Linked DNA regions of Caenorhabditis elegans. The protein of the gene in region 1 interacts with the protein of each later gene in a pairwise test. Each region holds a gene or a part of one and is shown on either strand. Other genes may lie near its edges. The genes, in order: mup-2 and idpb-4.

What was found.
Region 2: the proteins of mup-2 (region 1) and idpb-4 interact in a two-hybrid assay, tested with the Caenorhabditis elegans proteins (one large-scale study listed by BioGRID).

The regions. Positions count from the first base shown.
Region 1 is NC_003284.9:6,407,512-6,415,807, reverse strand, and holds mup-2 (Troponin T), read left to right. Parts: upstream 1-5,580; 5' UTR 5,581-5,599; coding exon 5,600-5,622; intron 5,623-5,674; coding exon 5,675-5,743; intron 5,744-5,794; coding exon 5,795-5,906; intron 5,907-5,972; coding exon 5,973-6,350; intron 6,351-6,401; coding exon 6,402-6,608; intron 6,609-6,680; coding exon 6,681-7,109; 3' UTR 7,110-7,337; downstream 7,338-8,296. Other genes in the region: T22E5.6 (uncharacterized protein), read left to right, coding at 386-535, 584-669, 1,428-1,646; nssp-78 (Accessory protein 7b), read right to left, coding at 2,369-2,526, 2,779-2,827. UniProt on the Caenorhabditis elegans protein: Troponin T is the tropomyosin-binding subunit of troponin, the thin filament regulatory complex which confers calcium-sensitivity to muscle actomyosin ATPase activity.
Region 2 is NC_003280.10:8,734,232-8,741,753, reverse strand, and holds idpb-4 (Intrinsically Disordered Protein, class B), read left to right. Parts: upstream 1-4,197; 5' UTR 4,198-4,230; coding exon 4,231-4,290; intron 4,291-4,344; coding exon 4,345-4,553; intron 4,554-4,694; coding exon 4,695-4,920; 3' UTR 4,921-5,028; downstream 5,029-7,522.

The DNA.
Region 1 (8,296 bases):
ATCATCAAAAACTGTCAAAACAACCGAAAATTAACATTTTCAACAATTGCTCAAATTTGAGTCGGCGAAAGTTTTTAGAAACCAGAAATTGTGGAAATCTGTTTTTTTGATTGATTTAAAATAATTTATCATAATAATTAAACATTAAGTTAAGTTAAATAAATAAATCAATCAATAATTAGGCATGTAGGTCGTCCCAATTGTTTTTTGGCCTGCATTGCAGATCTCGATAAGAATTATCTGAAAATAAGGAAACGATAAACAAACGTTTTAAGTTTTTTAACTTTAGTTGAAAGTGTTTCGATGTGGCTGTAATAAAAAATAAAGGTATTATTTAAAAATATATTATAAGTTTATTTTTCTCCACTAAATATTTATTTTTCAGTTGTTCGAGTGACATTCCACATTGCTCTGGTCATATTGGCGTTTCAAATTTTCTACCTCGCATATACCATTGGACACTGTTGTAGCCAGTCATTTACAGAATTGACAAAAAAGCGAAAACTCGCATTTTTCCATGCAATGCTCGTTCCAGGTGCGGTTCCAAAACGTGACTACAAACTATTAATGCTTATTTTTGCAGTTGGCCTTTGGATTATTCTCCTACTACTTGTACTTTACGAAACTTACACTGATAATCTTCTCCCATTGTCTCTGAGAAAAGAAGATGTAAGATTTTTACGATGATTCAAAGAAAGTATAAAGTTACTTCATATATTCCAATCGAAGCAGAAGGGTTTCTAGCCTTTAATTCAATAAGCTGTTTGTTCAGCGAAGCGTACTATGAAAATTATTTTTAAGTGTTTTGGTATTGCAACGAGTGTTCTTTGCAAATTTAATAGTCTTTTTTCGAAAGGGTGTATTAGAATCATAAGCTGAAGTTATCTGACGCAAATATGATAAAAATAAATCGTTATGATTTTTACGATTACTTTTTTTAAAAACTTCATACTGAGGAAAATAAAGTTATAATATATTTTGAAGTACTTTATTAAATTACCAAAATCTCTTGTTTTCATCAATAATTTTTCACCCACAAAAAATGTCTACGAAAAAATGAACATTGAAAAAAACCAAAACGTGATGTAAGGTCTGAAAGGTTACCAGCCCACCAATAATTGGAGAATTCTAGGTCATTATAAGCAAATATATAAGTTGTATTTAGCTGAATTCTTCCACTACTCAATAACCTACATACATTTTTAAGACAGAACGCATAAATTATTTTGATACTTCAAATTTATCAAAACGTTATTGATATCAGAAAATTATAGAAATTTCCTAGCTTTTTACTAAAAAAAAAAGTGTAGACGAAATTTGAAAGTTTGAGTTTAAAGAAACATATTTTGGTAAAACGAAGCAAAAAACATATTTTAACTGTTTCCTAGCTAATTAATTCTTGTTATTCAAAACGATTTTATTTTCAGTACAAATACAAAATCGGATCCGGCTTTTGGTTTTTCTTCCTCGGTGGCCTACTTCCATTTATTGGAGCACTCTACTTCTTGTTTAGAGAGCAGATGGATGCATCGAAAACTCGTCTTAGAGGACTTATCAATCGACATCAGCCAATACCATCAAATGTGAACGAGAGTGACCGTGACGGGGTAGAACTGGTCAGGACAAATCATGGAGGAAGGGTGTAGCTTGAGTCTTGCTCAGCAAAATATTGTCAATGTTTCTGAAGCTTTATGTATTTTTACCGATGATTTTATCTAACAAGGAAAGGTTTTTATTTTCCCGTCCCGACAGACATCAAAACGAGAGATGTGCATTCTGCACTCTGAACTCCAACCGTTTTGATCTGAAATTTTTTTCTCTACTTTCCAGCCAGTTTTGGCAGACTTTCGACATTTAAGGATGTTTATGGGTAAATTATCATTTCGGAAATTTTAGTTTTTGAGTGGTACTGAGCCGTTTTCGATTTGATGTCTGAGGGTTGAAAACCTTTCCTTGTAGTTCTACATTACACTAACAATGCTCAAATTTTGTTCAGTCCCGCCGAATTCCAGATCTCAATTTGTTTCTAAATGTATTTTCAGAAAAAATAAAAACATTTTCAAATGATGACGCAATACATATTTATATCTAGAACGGGATCTTCGAGGACTGGAAAATACGTCGTTTTTAGTGTCTCAATCACGCTGCCAGTGATTCCCAAGTGGCCCTCGCAAGCTCGTTTACATACTGATGGGAGCTAAGAAAAGATGCGGAAGAAACACAAAGAAATTCAGAGTATTGTTCTACCATCAATCATGTTTGAGGCATGAAGCGCTACTTTTCGGTGGAAGTTTATCGGTATTTGTTAAAAGAGTGGATAAAAACACGTCACTTTAATTCACTTCATTTTTAAATAAACACAAAAAAATCAAAATAGAGCGGTGAACCGCGAACAAGGACATAATTGATGGCGGCAGACGAATGCGCGACAGCAGAAGCACACCTTGCGATCCTCCTCCAAGTCTATAGTCTCCTCAGGATCAACTTCTGCTCGGTCAATCATTGCGATAAATTTACTGCATACTCCTGAAAGTTAAACAATATTTATAAATGCTGAAATTAATGTGTTAAATATATGTTGTTGGTACTTTAAACTACTTTTACTTCCTACATATTTCAATTTCAACATCACTCTTTTCACTTGTCAAGTCAAAGTAACTAACTAACTCCCACACACACACATACTTTAAATTGAAATATTGCAAGTACAACATGCAGCATGAGAAAAAAGTATCGTAAAACAAAGTATGAAACATTTTCAAACTATGAAAAACGTACCTGCAAAAAGGCAAGCAATCAGAAGAAGTGTGATGAATTTAGGTGACATAGTAAATCTTGTCAAGTAAATACCAAACAAATTGGGTGCAAAAAGAACTTAATAGAAGTCAAGAGGGACAAGTCAAAGTGACGAAAAAGGCGTGTGGCTCCCACTCGAGTTCACAGCTACCCACAGATACCAATTTTAGAACTAGGCCCCGCCTCTCTCCTAAGAAATGGGGTTGAGTTGAAATGCATGGCGTCACTTTTGGGTCTAAATGTGGTGCAGTAAAGTATTAAATGTAGTGTTTATGAAAATAACAATTTTACATAGAAAAGCTGAAGTAACCTGGAAACTTTGAGCAAAATAAAAAATATTTACACCCTTTAAAATGACTCGACTAAAGTTTAAGATTATATCTTCGTAAACTTGGGAATCTATAAAAAGAAAAACTAAATAAAACGATTATTGATAACCTGAGTAATATTTAAAACTGGTTAAAAAACGTCGAAAGTCACTGAAACCCTCTGAATAAATCAGATTTTTTAATTGATTTTGATTCCAACCAGTTGCCAAAAATACTTCCAGAAACATCTCTGAAACGTGTTTTATAGAATAATAGGAAAACGCGCTAAAACACGGTAGCTGCTTGTGATATACACTCATATTTTCAAGACTTAATTTTAGCCATAATTTTTTGAAACACCAATTCTCATTCCTAAAGTCTAGCGAATGACAGCTTTTTAGCAACAAATAATCTAAAAAATTGCTAATCAATAGATCTAATATCTTAAAAAATAGTTCAAAATGATTTTCACAGAGTGAAACTTAGATTTTTAACTACAGAATTACAAATAATTCTAAAAGTTTTCGGTGGCATTAAGCGTAGAATAGCGCGATTGTGGAAAATTGATAAAAATCTATAGTGCCAAAATGGCCAAATAAAAATTGTTTCAAATTTCATGGTCTACCTATGTTTTAAATAATAATATTCAAACATTTTATTCGCTCGAACATGCGACTGTGCTATTTTTTCTCAAAAAGTGATAAAAACTTAGTAATTTTCACTTTTTGTGTGTCAATTTTTTGAATATGTGCAAAGAGTTTTTGAAACTTTTTACTATGATATTTGATAGTTTTGGTACTATAAGAGTGGTAGTTCAGAAAAATTACCCCACTGCCCCTACTCCACCATAGACTAATTTGCTAGTTAGAAACCAAAAATACAATGTTTCAAAAAATATGTTATAAAATACAAGAAAAATACAAGGTGTCAAAAACATACATTTTCTGAATAAGGGTAATTTTTTGACATTTTCGAAAATGTAATCTATATCTTTGATCTCATATGTTAATATCAAATTAATTAGACTAAAGTTTTGAAATTGATGATTAATTACTACATTTATTTTGTATTTCACAAAGATGTTCGTATTTCTTAGAATAACACTATTTTTTTGCAATAATTTAATTAGTGTGGACTGTTGTCACCACATTGAACACACTTTTCGTAATTTTTTTGCCTTGTTTATTATTATGTTCTTTGAAATTAATGTTTTATTTATTATTTAGAATCAATTTTTCAAATTCCCTTAATTGGATCCCCGCAACTGAACCAGACGGCCAATTGACACTGGCTTACAAGAATTTGAATGAAAACGTCTCGAAGATCATCAGCTGCATTCAAATGAAAAGAAAGAATATTTGTATTATTGTTTTGCGTTTTTACAATTGTGCCACCCAAATATTATTCGTATGCTCGCCCCGCTTGTCTTATTGCAGGGGCCACTGTGAGTGGATTTTTGGTGGAAACGAGCTTGTTGGAAAAAGATGATAGCCGATTGGCAAGGTGCCTCGGTAAATTGGAAACTATTACACAAATATCATTGATTTCTAAACATTGAATTTTGAAATTTAATATTTGTAGAAATATTAAAATGATTTGTTTACTTTAAATGGATCAATTTTAAAGAGCACTACGTTTTCATTTGCGCGTTAAAATATTTAAATAAAAGTGATGATTCATTGAAAATTCGTAATTATAAAATAAGTTTACCGTATTTTACCTAAATTTTAACAAAACTTTTTGAACCACATAAATATTTAACGCGTTTTTATTATTTTAAAGCTGACCAATTAGAATTAGTGTGCAGTGGAAGATACAAGAATAATAGGAAAATCACAGTAATTTCTAAAACATATTAACTACTTGTTAGAAATTTTTATCAATTGACCAGTATAAACTATGTTGTTTTTTTCAACTTGTCCAAACTCTTCATCATCATCTGTCTCTTGTTGGTCCCTTGTCTGTGTCAGCGTAGGAGGAAGAGATAGTGAAGTGCACATCTTGGTGATCGAGAGAGAAGCAGAGAAACCCGTTTCTCGAATCAATGTTGGTGATTCAAAAATATATTGAGCCTTCGGATCGAAACATGATGCCCTATTTCTACGATAGCACATCACAGAAGTCTGCGTATTCTGAGGAAACGCAGACTGCCCGCGGGAAGCCCCAGGCAGAGAGAAAGACGAGAGCCACACGAGGAGGGCACGGCTGCTCACTCTGCGTAGGTGTAAGGTTTACAGCACAGATTGTGTCCGTATGTTATACTTTTCTTTTCCCTGAGAGCTCCCGCTCCCGCCAGCCCCTCCCACTTATCTGCCAACGACGGCCTCCCGGAGCAAGCACTTTCATATCTCTTCATTGTCGATTTCAACATCCCACCGGCACATACTCAAATTTCCTTCTTCTTCTGTGTCATCACTTCTTATCAATATGTTTTGAGATTTTGAATTTTGAGAATTTAACTTTCATATAATTACAGAACCTAAACCTAACTAATCATGTCCGACGAGGAGGAGGTATAGTAAGTTATATACCTATCATTTTTCTAGACATTCTAATTTTTAATTTTTTAGCTCTGATGAGGAGGTCGAGGAGGAGGAGGTCGAGGAGACCGAAGAGGCCCCAGCTGAGGCTGAAGAGCCGTAAGTTTAAGCTTTGAATTCGTGATTTTTTGTATAACACTGAAATTGTAGAGAGGAGACCACCGAGGAAGTAGTCGCTCCACCAGAGGTCAAGGAGCGTCGTGCTCCAGTCCAAGAGGAGAAGCCACCAGCGGAGATGACTGAGGCTGAGATTGCCATGTTGGTGAGTATAACTTCTTGGGAGACCTTCCGTTTCATTCATAAAATTGTTAACCAAATTCATATCTAGGCCGCCAAGAAGCGTCACGAGGAAGAGGAAGCCGCTAAACTTCTCGATTACGAGCAGCGCCGTGTTCTTGAGAAGGAGCAAATCGAACAAGAGCTTCGTGAACTCAAGGAGAAGCAAGAGAAGCGCCGAGCTGAGCGTGAAGAGGACGAGCGTCAGTTCGCTGAACGTAGACGTCAAGATGACGAGCGCCGTCGCAAGGAAGAAGACGAACGCAAGGCTAAGGCTGATGCCGAGAAGATCCGCAAGAACGAGGAGAAGGTCCGTCGTCAACAAATGATGGCTGGAGCTTTCAACGGAAGAGTTGAAGCCGGAGCTGGACGCAACTTCACTGTCGCCTCCAAGGGAGACCAAGCTGCTCAATTCGGAAACTTGGCTCAGGTATTTTTATTGTATCATTTTTAAATCGAATACTAATTAAGAAACTTTCAGGCTAAGGGAGGAAAGGATGTCATGAGCAAGGAACAGATGGAGGATGCCAAGAGAAACTTCTTGGCCGCCGTCTGCCGTGTACAAGACGTCTCTGGACTTCTTCCAAACGATTTGAAGGAGAGAATCAGAGGCCTTCATGCTCGTATCGTCAAGCTCGAGGCTGAGAAGTACGACTTGGAGAAGAGACGTGAACGTCAAGACTATGACGTAAGTTTAAACTATTCAATGAGACTTATTTGATATTGTGTGTGACATTCAACCAAATTTCAATTACTTCAGATGAAAGAGTTACACGAGCGTCAACGTCAAGCCGCCCGTAACAAGGCTCTCAAGAAGGGACTTGACCCAGAGGAGGCTGCTTCCTCTGTCCATCCACCAAAGATCACCACCGCTTCTAAGTTCGACCGTCAAACCGACAGAAGATCTTACGGAGACCGTCGGTACTTGTTCGAGAACCCAGAAGAGGAGAAGCAGGCTTCCCTCGTCCGCGGAACCGGACGACCACCAGCAGAGTGGGGACGCAAGCAAAACGAAGAACTCGAGCAGATCCGCAAAAACTTGGAGCCACCAAAGTACGTTGAGCAGGTCAAGGTTGAGGGAGCCAGAGCACCAGTCGAGCCAGTCCCACTCTTCGTTCCAACTGATGACTTCGAGCCACAACAAGTCACCGAGGATCCAAATGTTGGAGAAGAGGTCGTTGTCGAATAAATTTCCTGTTTTTTACCTTTTTTCATTTCACAATTTTTTGATTATCAAATTTATTAAAATAAACCCAATCCCAACCAAAAAAAATCCATTTTCTAATATTCCAATCAAAACTTTTTGCATTTGTTTCCAATTTATTAACCAATTCTCCAATTCTTCAAGTACTCTGTTTCTGCATACTCTCCGGTTTGTGCTTATCAGTAAAGTCTTTATCATAAAAATTGCATTCCCATTCGAATTGTAAGCATTTCATGAAACAGATTAAAACAAGAATTCGTGGAAAGACAAATTTTGATTATAATATTTATTATTAAAGTTTGAATAAGTCGAGTCAACGGAAAAAATATATATGAATAATATAAATTGAAAAAGGAAAGGACTAAGACGGAATTGGAAAAATATGAGAAATTGGGATCTAGCTAATGAGAAAAATAATCGTTTGAAAGCGGTGAGAAAAAATTTGCTTACAACAGCAAAGTTGATGAATTTCTGGGGCAAAGTTTTTTGTGGTAGGAGAGAAAATCGGCATGACACGCCACAGTTTGATGTGTGTAACAAACTAATCAGAGAGGCATTTGAAAACATTCTATGATAAAAATTATACACATTATCAAATTCAAAATCAAGTTATCAAATTCAAAAATAAAAGTTATTGGTTAGATTTGAATAAGCAAAACAGATACGAGACACACATCTGGGGCCAATTTTGAAAACGACCTGGGGAATTTTTAGAGTTTGGGGAGTAGTTATGGTTGGGAAGAACATCTGGAAAGTCTGACAAATAGGCCTCATAGTATTTGCTTATGTTTTTTTTTCGCAAAGTGAGAAATGAAAGCAACGGGGCGAGAACAGTGAGGAACTGGGTTTCAGTAGAGAATTACAACCGAGAAGCAACAAAGTTTACACCAGGAAATCGAGAAATGTACAATAAAATGACAACAGAAAAATAGAATTTTGAAGTGAGAAGAAATAATCAATTGGGATACAAAGACTAACGAGCATAAATTTTCAATAATTGGGATAGAAGTTGATGAGAAATTGGGAATTGTTTTGTTTTAAGAATGAAAAAAATTGAAAGCTTTCGTTTACAGATAGTGTATTCAAAAATGTACCTAGTGATGAAATTACTAATTTGGAGACACAGATATCACTCAGAATGGTCTTTCATTTGTGGATTTATAGTTTTTAGA
Region 2 (7,522 bases), on another chromosome or scaffold:
ATTCGTTGTCAAACGACCGCGCTCATTATTAAAATTTATCAGTGACAGTGTTCAATACTTAATGTCTACTTCTCGATCAAAATGAATGCGGCAAACGACGTCTAACAAGAAATGAAACAGTCATTTTCACATTCAATTGTCATTCCCATACACTCACACACTCACACACAATCGCACATAATGCAAATGTCCTACAACAAAACCACGCCATAAAACTGTTAGAATTCCTTGAAAAATCACATCATTTCAATTCCCTTCTAGACTGGCGTCACGTGGTCGGGGTCGCATTGCGCTCGGTGCACACAAATGTTTATGAAACGAGAGAAGTCTTCTCTTTACCTTGACAATTTTCAGTGTAAACGAATGATCAAAAGAGCGATTGATGAGGAGGATGAAGCATCATCTAATGAAGATTTGAACTCTTTTTTTTGGATTGCAAAATGTATCTTTGATCAAAAGATAGGAGTAGTTAAAAATAGAACTTCACAACGGTCGGAAAACTAACTCGGAACACTTTTAGTCTTGCTCAATTGGAACTAGGTATAATTACATATGTTGTAAACTTACAAAAGCTAGTGTCTAGGTGAAATCTCGAAACAATACAAACAATAAAAATAATGAAATATCAAAAAAATTAATGAATAATGAAAAATCGAACTGTCTATACATAGAGGCAAACAAAACGCAAATGAGTGGGTTTGGGGGAATCGATGAAATTGAATTTATCTTATGGGAAACTGAATAGGGGACAAACTACATATGAAAAGTGTTATATGGGGTGAAGAAAGAGTGAGAATTTGTGTTGATCTACTTTCGATCTACCTTTAAATAAATAAATTATTTATTTGATCTTCTGATCCTACGATACTCTAGTCAAGTCGACAAGAAAGTTTTTTTCTTTGATTGATTTGTATTATTTGAAGATAGTTTTGAACTTTCCATCATTCTTCATATTTCTAACAATTTTCGACAATTTTTCATGATGCCATCTCTTTTGCTTCCCAATGATTTTCTTTCAGTTTTCTATTACATCACCCGCCTCCAGAACTTTGATCTGTGTCGTTGGGTTCGGTTCAGTGTTCATTTGATCTTTACGGAATTGAGAAATTTCGTTGAAAAAATTACGCTGCAAAAGGGGGTTTCCTCAAGAGCCAATTTGATAAGAAATCATTGATAACAATTGAGAGGATTCCGGTGATAACTTGATTTCAAAGAAAACTGTGATAGGGGGCATGCAGGGGGCAAAAGGGGTTTCCCGATTACGTGACTTTCCACATAAAGTTTAGTTTATCATCAGTCATCAGTGATATTTCAATGACAACCTTGTGTTATTTTTTTGAAAACAAACGAGAGATACTAACCGGTAAAAGGGGTTAGTTCCACAAACTTTTCAAATTAAAAAACATGATATGCATTTATAAAGACCTGTTTCAGATTTTTAAACTTGATAGCCTTTCATTTATGGAAAGGTGTCATCCTAGATTACAAATGTGTTTCGTTATCATTTTGTCACAGTCTAAAAAAGACAATCAATTTTATTTGACTACATGATTGATTTTTTAATTCTATACCGGAAATATTTGATTTTTTTTTAAAGATTTTTTAAAGTCCAAGATCACTGCCAATGTTGCGGCACTTATAATCATTGGGAATTTTCAAATATTATAAACAACACCAGTTAAAACACTAAACATTGCTCTCTAATTATCTCTACAGTGATCCAAATAATTTTTAACCGGTATTTCAGATGTATAACTTTCAGATCAACAACATTTTCATTCAACCTTTACTCTACTGATAAGATATTTTTCAAAAAACACAGTATACATTTGGTTTGTCGTCTCTCAATCCAATTGTGGACAAAAAAAAGCAAGGGAAGAAAGAATTGGTTTCAATGAAACGGACAACTAGTTTTGCTTTTTATACGATGTTGGTTAATAGATCATCAGCGTACATTTTCTTTCCCATGTCTCTATCGCTGAAGAAAAATATATTTCCTGTTTACAAAAATATATTTCAAACCAATATTGCAAACCAAATTTTGGGCGAGGTTTATTTTGAGCAATTTTGTGATCAAATACAAAATAATGTGCCAAATGAACTGAAATATCCTCATCCTTAATATTAAAATTTATTTGCTTTTTGAACCAATTTTCTAGTAAAATTCTACGTTCGTCAAAGAAAATATGAAACGTAAAGCACAAAGAACACTTGGCACATTTCGGACGTCAGCGGAAGTTTGCTCAAGGCACTGTTTTTTGTCAAGTCATGGATTTACAAAAAACAATGGCGGGAACGCGAACAGGAATGTCTTTGAAATACATGTTTAGTGTGGGAAAAAGTGAAGAGTGTGTCACAGGAAGAATTTTTGAATTTCGGGGAATATTTTCATGATCACTATCAGTTTATTTGTCTAGTTAAGATAAAAGTTTAGGTTTCTCATTTAGTTCGAGTTCTTCACTAATGTTCTACTTCTAGTTGATCTGAATCAAATATTGTGTTCTTGAAAGTCACGAGTGTGCACATCGAACTCCCATTTTGATAACATTTATTTTATGGGAATCACGAATATTTTTGAACTTTTATAGCCCTGTTTATGAGATGATAATATTAAAGATTCAATCAAAAGTTTACATATCAACAACACTATATTCTAGCATAAGAAGAAGACATAAGAAGAGTTTCTCAAATAAAAATCATTTTCTTATCATATTTTATATCCAGTTTTTATGATATTTACAACGAGTTCATCAAATCAATGATTGCACCTATCAAATTTTTAAAAAAGAAAAAGAATAACATGTTTATGAATGTTGCAGATTTTCATTGTTAGAAAGACAATGAAAATTACAGTATCGGACTGATTTTAGAACATTTGATAAAAAGTATGTTCATTGTACATTGTACCGTGATGTACTTTTTCAGTCATTATGCTTCATTAGATTTAAAATGCCCCACGAGAATTGAATTTTCAGTCTTTGTAGCCCATTTTTAGTCTAATGGAAAAAGTCCCAAAACTTTGCTACTCCACCTTTAATTTTAAAAACAATTTTTCCGAATATTCTTTTTTGAAATCTTCCAGATTTGTAATATATTCCAACAATACAGTTACAACATAAACATAAACATTTTTTGCAAGAATCTCAGAGACATCAACCAACATCCCCATTTTACAAGTGTTGTTTTTCTTTTCTTATCACAACACATCTCACCAACGATCAATGTCAATTTAACAAACCAATAGTAGTATTACATAGTGATAAGCGATTTTCGATGACCCAGCTCTATCATTTTGCTGTGTTTTGTTTTGTTTACTGATCGGCTGCTGATCAAAGGGCTTGAATATTCCGAAATGATCAACTGTCAACAAGATACGCAAACATAATTGTCTGAGAGCTTCTACTACATTCAAGTCAGGGCGTATCCTAGAAAAAACATAGAAGACTGGCATTGTGACGTCCCGGTCCTCAATCGGAATGTATCAATTATGAGACATCATCATCATTGCCAATTAAGTATGTCGGAGTTGGCATACATTTTATGTTGGCATACATTTTTACGTATCATCTCCATTTCACTATCACTGGCACTTCATTCATTTTTTTGTGTCTTCTGTCTCCTTGTCATATATCCATTCCAAAAACAAAAGTGTGACCTCCGGCGAGTCACCAAATGTGCAAAAAATGTACCTGTGGGCGGTAAATATGATAAAAATAGATGAGTACTTGACGGAAACAAACGAGTAAAGGTGCGAAGACACAAGTAGTTGATGAATGAAAACACAGTTTTTTTTGCACGGAAACAAGAGCTATCTTTGAGTGATTTGATCAGCTAACTATTGTACAAAGTGATTTCATTTTTTTGTAAGTCTGCGATTTGAGGTTGAGATGGGGTATCTTTTTAGACTAAAATGGAAGAAAGAAGCCGAACATCAGTTTAAAAAGAGAAAGATGGAAGCAATAGTTGTTGATGTTCCTACCTAAGAAAGTTCATTTCAAATAAACTAAATTCCAGTCAAGATCCAAGTGATCAACCATCACCAGTGGGTAGCAAAGTTGAGCAACATGCAAATTGTTTGAATTGATCGAGACATTTTGACAGTTTTCCGCGAGTGATTACGATTACGCAACATGTTGGCCAATATCCCTTCCGGAATGGCAATGAAGCCTGTATAAAAGTGAGGAAGAACTTTGGAAACTCACATCATTCTCATTAACTCCTAATCTTATAATGACTACTTCCACTCTTGCGATTCTCCTTGCCATCGGAACTTTTATTGCGGTTTCTCAAGTGAGAATTATTTTTCAATTACTTAATATCTTCTCAATTTTTCAATATTTCCAGGTTCAATCTGCGGTTCTTCCAGTATCATCGACTGAGTTGGCAACTGTTGGAACTGATGTTTCAACAGCTTCAACTGCCATCGACACTCTAGGAAATTCTAGCTCAAGAGTGAAAAGACAAGGAGGATGTGGGTGCTGCGGTTGTGGATGTGGATGTTGTGGATGCGGAGGAGGAGGTGGTGGATGTGGATGCTGCTGTTGTAGACCAAGGTACCCAGTTTTGGAAATACTTGAAGCTATAAAAAATTTTACCAGATTGAGCATATCATGGAATTTTTAAAAATGGAAATTCAATTTTATTATATAGTTTAATTTTATTAATATATAGTAAGCTTTAACTGAAACTTCTAGATGCTGCTGCTGCTGTCGCCGTTGCTGTACCTGCTGTAGAACTTGCTGCTGCACCAGATGCTGCACTTGCTGTCGTCCATGCTGTTGTGGATGTGGATGTGGATGTGGATGCTGTGGATGCGGAGGAGGAGGACGTAAGCGTCGTTCCCTCCAAAACCTCAGAATCGATGATGCTAACCGTGCTCTCGGAATCAAGAGAAAGTCCTCAAAGGCTGACAGATGTTAAATTCAGTTGATTCTTATTTATTTTTGGCACCCAGCTACTTAACTTATTACTAAAATTAGTAATATTTATCCCAATAATAATAATAATAATAAATTTGTGTTGTCCTTAGCTTTTACGGAATAATGGCAGGTGCAAATGGTTATGTTGACACCTTGGCGGCGCCAAATGCAAACACCCAATCAAAGCATTCTCCGAGAATCTAATTTAAACGTTACTTTTTTCGTTGGGTGGTTTTTTTACATTTCAGTTGCGAGGAAAATTTTTAAAAGAATTTTTAAGTCTTAAAAAAATATGATTGAATTTGCAATTCGCGTTTTGTAATTTTGGTATTGAAAAAAAACGCGGTTGTGCTGTGGGGGTAAACAAAACTGATGAAATTCCGAATTAAAGGCAAAAAATACGCAAAAAGGATTTCACTCTCAAATTAGGGTCTCCAGAAGTCGGTACCATTTGTTTATTTTTTGGACCTCTTTTCATGTTCTCGAGGGCATTCTAATTGGATTCACTGACTCTTGGCATCACTGGGGTCCTTCAAAAAGACCTCCTCTTCATTTTTTTTTTGTTTCTTCCCATTTTCTCAATGCTCACAGCAAAAATACACAAACACACACATGAGAGCAATATGAAATTTCATTATTATTCGATTTCCTAGATCTCTTTTTTGCGACTTTTCGTGTCTCTTTGACTCTTTTTTGTTTTATGTTTTTCATACTTAAAATAAAAAGATAGGAAACCAAAAGTATTATCTGATTCAGTTTTTTCAAAAGTAATTAAAACCATGTTGTTTCCAAATTTTGTAGTTTTGGGCCTCCGGACTAGATACTTTAAGGTGCCTTAACCCTCGTGGTACCGTTGTCTTTATTTTTCAACTTAGTAAAATCATGAAGAAATTGCAAAAAAATATCCGGAAAGTACACTTTTTTTTACTAGAGAAAGCCAAAACATGTTTGAATTCATTTTTTTTTGTTATCGGTCATTTTAAGCTTAATTTTAAAAGATCTAAATAAGTGGTTGAAATCGCAGTTGTGATTAATGACAAGGAAATTGAAGTAAAATAGGAAATAACCTGAATATTTCAAAAACAAGCCCTGCCCACATCTCGGATTAAAATCGTTATTGGAAAAGGTTCTATAAGTTTAGAATCATTGATTCATGTTTCTTGACTCTAAAAAGTATAAAAGAGATCATTTTCGGTTGAGTGAACTTGTCTTGATTCCAACATTTTGCTTCTTTAGTTTATTCTTCTTTTCTCACTCTTTTTACTCGTTTTGCACTTTATAGTTTTTATAGTTCTTTTTCAATATCTCTTTCCCTCCAGTCTCCGCACTTCTCTTTTGCATTGAATTTTATGAGCAGGTTGATGGTGTCGACTCGAAAAGGTTCCAGAGGTTCTAGTTTCAAGCCAAGAGAGGGCAGGCACCAACTGAATTCGTATTCAAAGCAGGAGAAGCTCATGTACGTGTTCCATCTTCTTTTTTTCTCGCTTTCCGTTCATCTTTCCTCCTCTTATTCATCTTCTCGTTTGGGATAACAACAACAAACACAACATTGACGCTTTCCGATTCCCGAGGGCACCACCACGGCGACATAAGTTATTTTTTCGAACAAAAAGAGAGAAAAAAGTCACAGATGTTTTTTCGGGAATTTCGTAGTACGCAAATAGACATTTTTGAGCATTTCCTGAATTTTGAGATTCGTTAACGTGATTTTCAGAAATTATTTTCAAAAGAAAACTTGTTCGTGAAGTGTATGTTAAAGTGAAGAGGTACTAGGTTTTGTTTGCAAGAAAGAACCGTTTTCAAGCTTTTGAACTGAAATTTACAGAAATTGTTTGTCTCGTGCTCAAATCTCCTCAACGTTTTTTTTTCCAAAATCACTTCCAATTGTTTTCCTGATTTTCTATTGTAATTTGTATTTTGAAAAAAATCGACATGCCGCTACAGTTCAAAACAAATGAAAGTTTCCAAAAGTAATTTGTGTTTGAACTTTTGGAACCAAGCTATTCGGGAATCTTTTGATGATTATGCAGAAGTTCTACTTCACTTCTTTCCCCTTTAAGTGAAATTTTTTGTTTTTTTTTTTGAGGTCACATGTTTTCCAACTACTCGGTCTTGAACTGAAATCTGAAAATTGAAATGATTTTCAAAACTTTGTCGTTTTTGTTCACCTTCGTTCTTTTCTTTCTTTTCGACTCAGTTTTCAACGTTTTCCTTCTTTCTATCGTCACTCTCCCATTATTTCCTTCGTTTTTTCCTCGTCTAAATATATTCATGAAGTGTTTTTTCCGACCTTCTCACCTTTTCTCTTATTTTTCCTTATACTAATAGGTTCCATTTCTAGCAATATAAATCGAGTGCCAAATACAGATTAATAGCTGTTCTAGGTCGTGCATTTTTCCTTCTAAAAGGATGCTCTCCAATTTCTATTAGTTATTCTGTTCAAGTCATACTAACCTCTTGTTCTTCTACACCAGTGTTTTTTTGCAAATGCACTTCCAAGCTTGTGACATAATTTATACAGTTTTGTATTTTAATTATTTTCCCCAAGAAAGTTCTTAACATCCATGGTAAACCAAATACAAAACAAAAAATTTTGAGAAGTA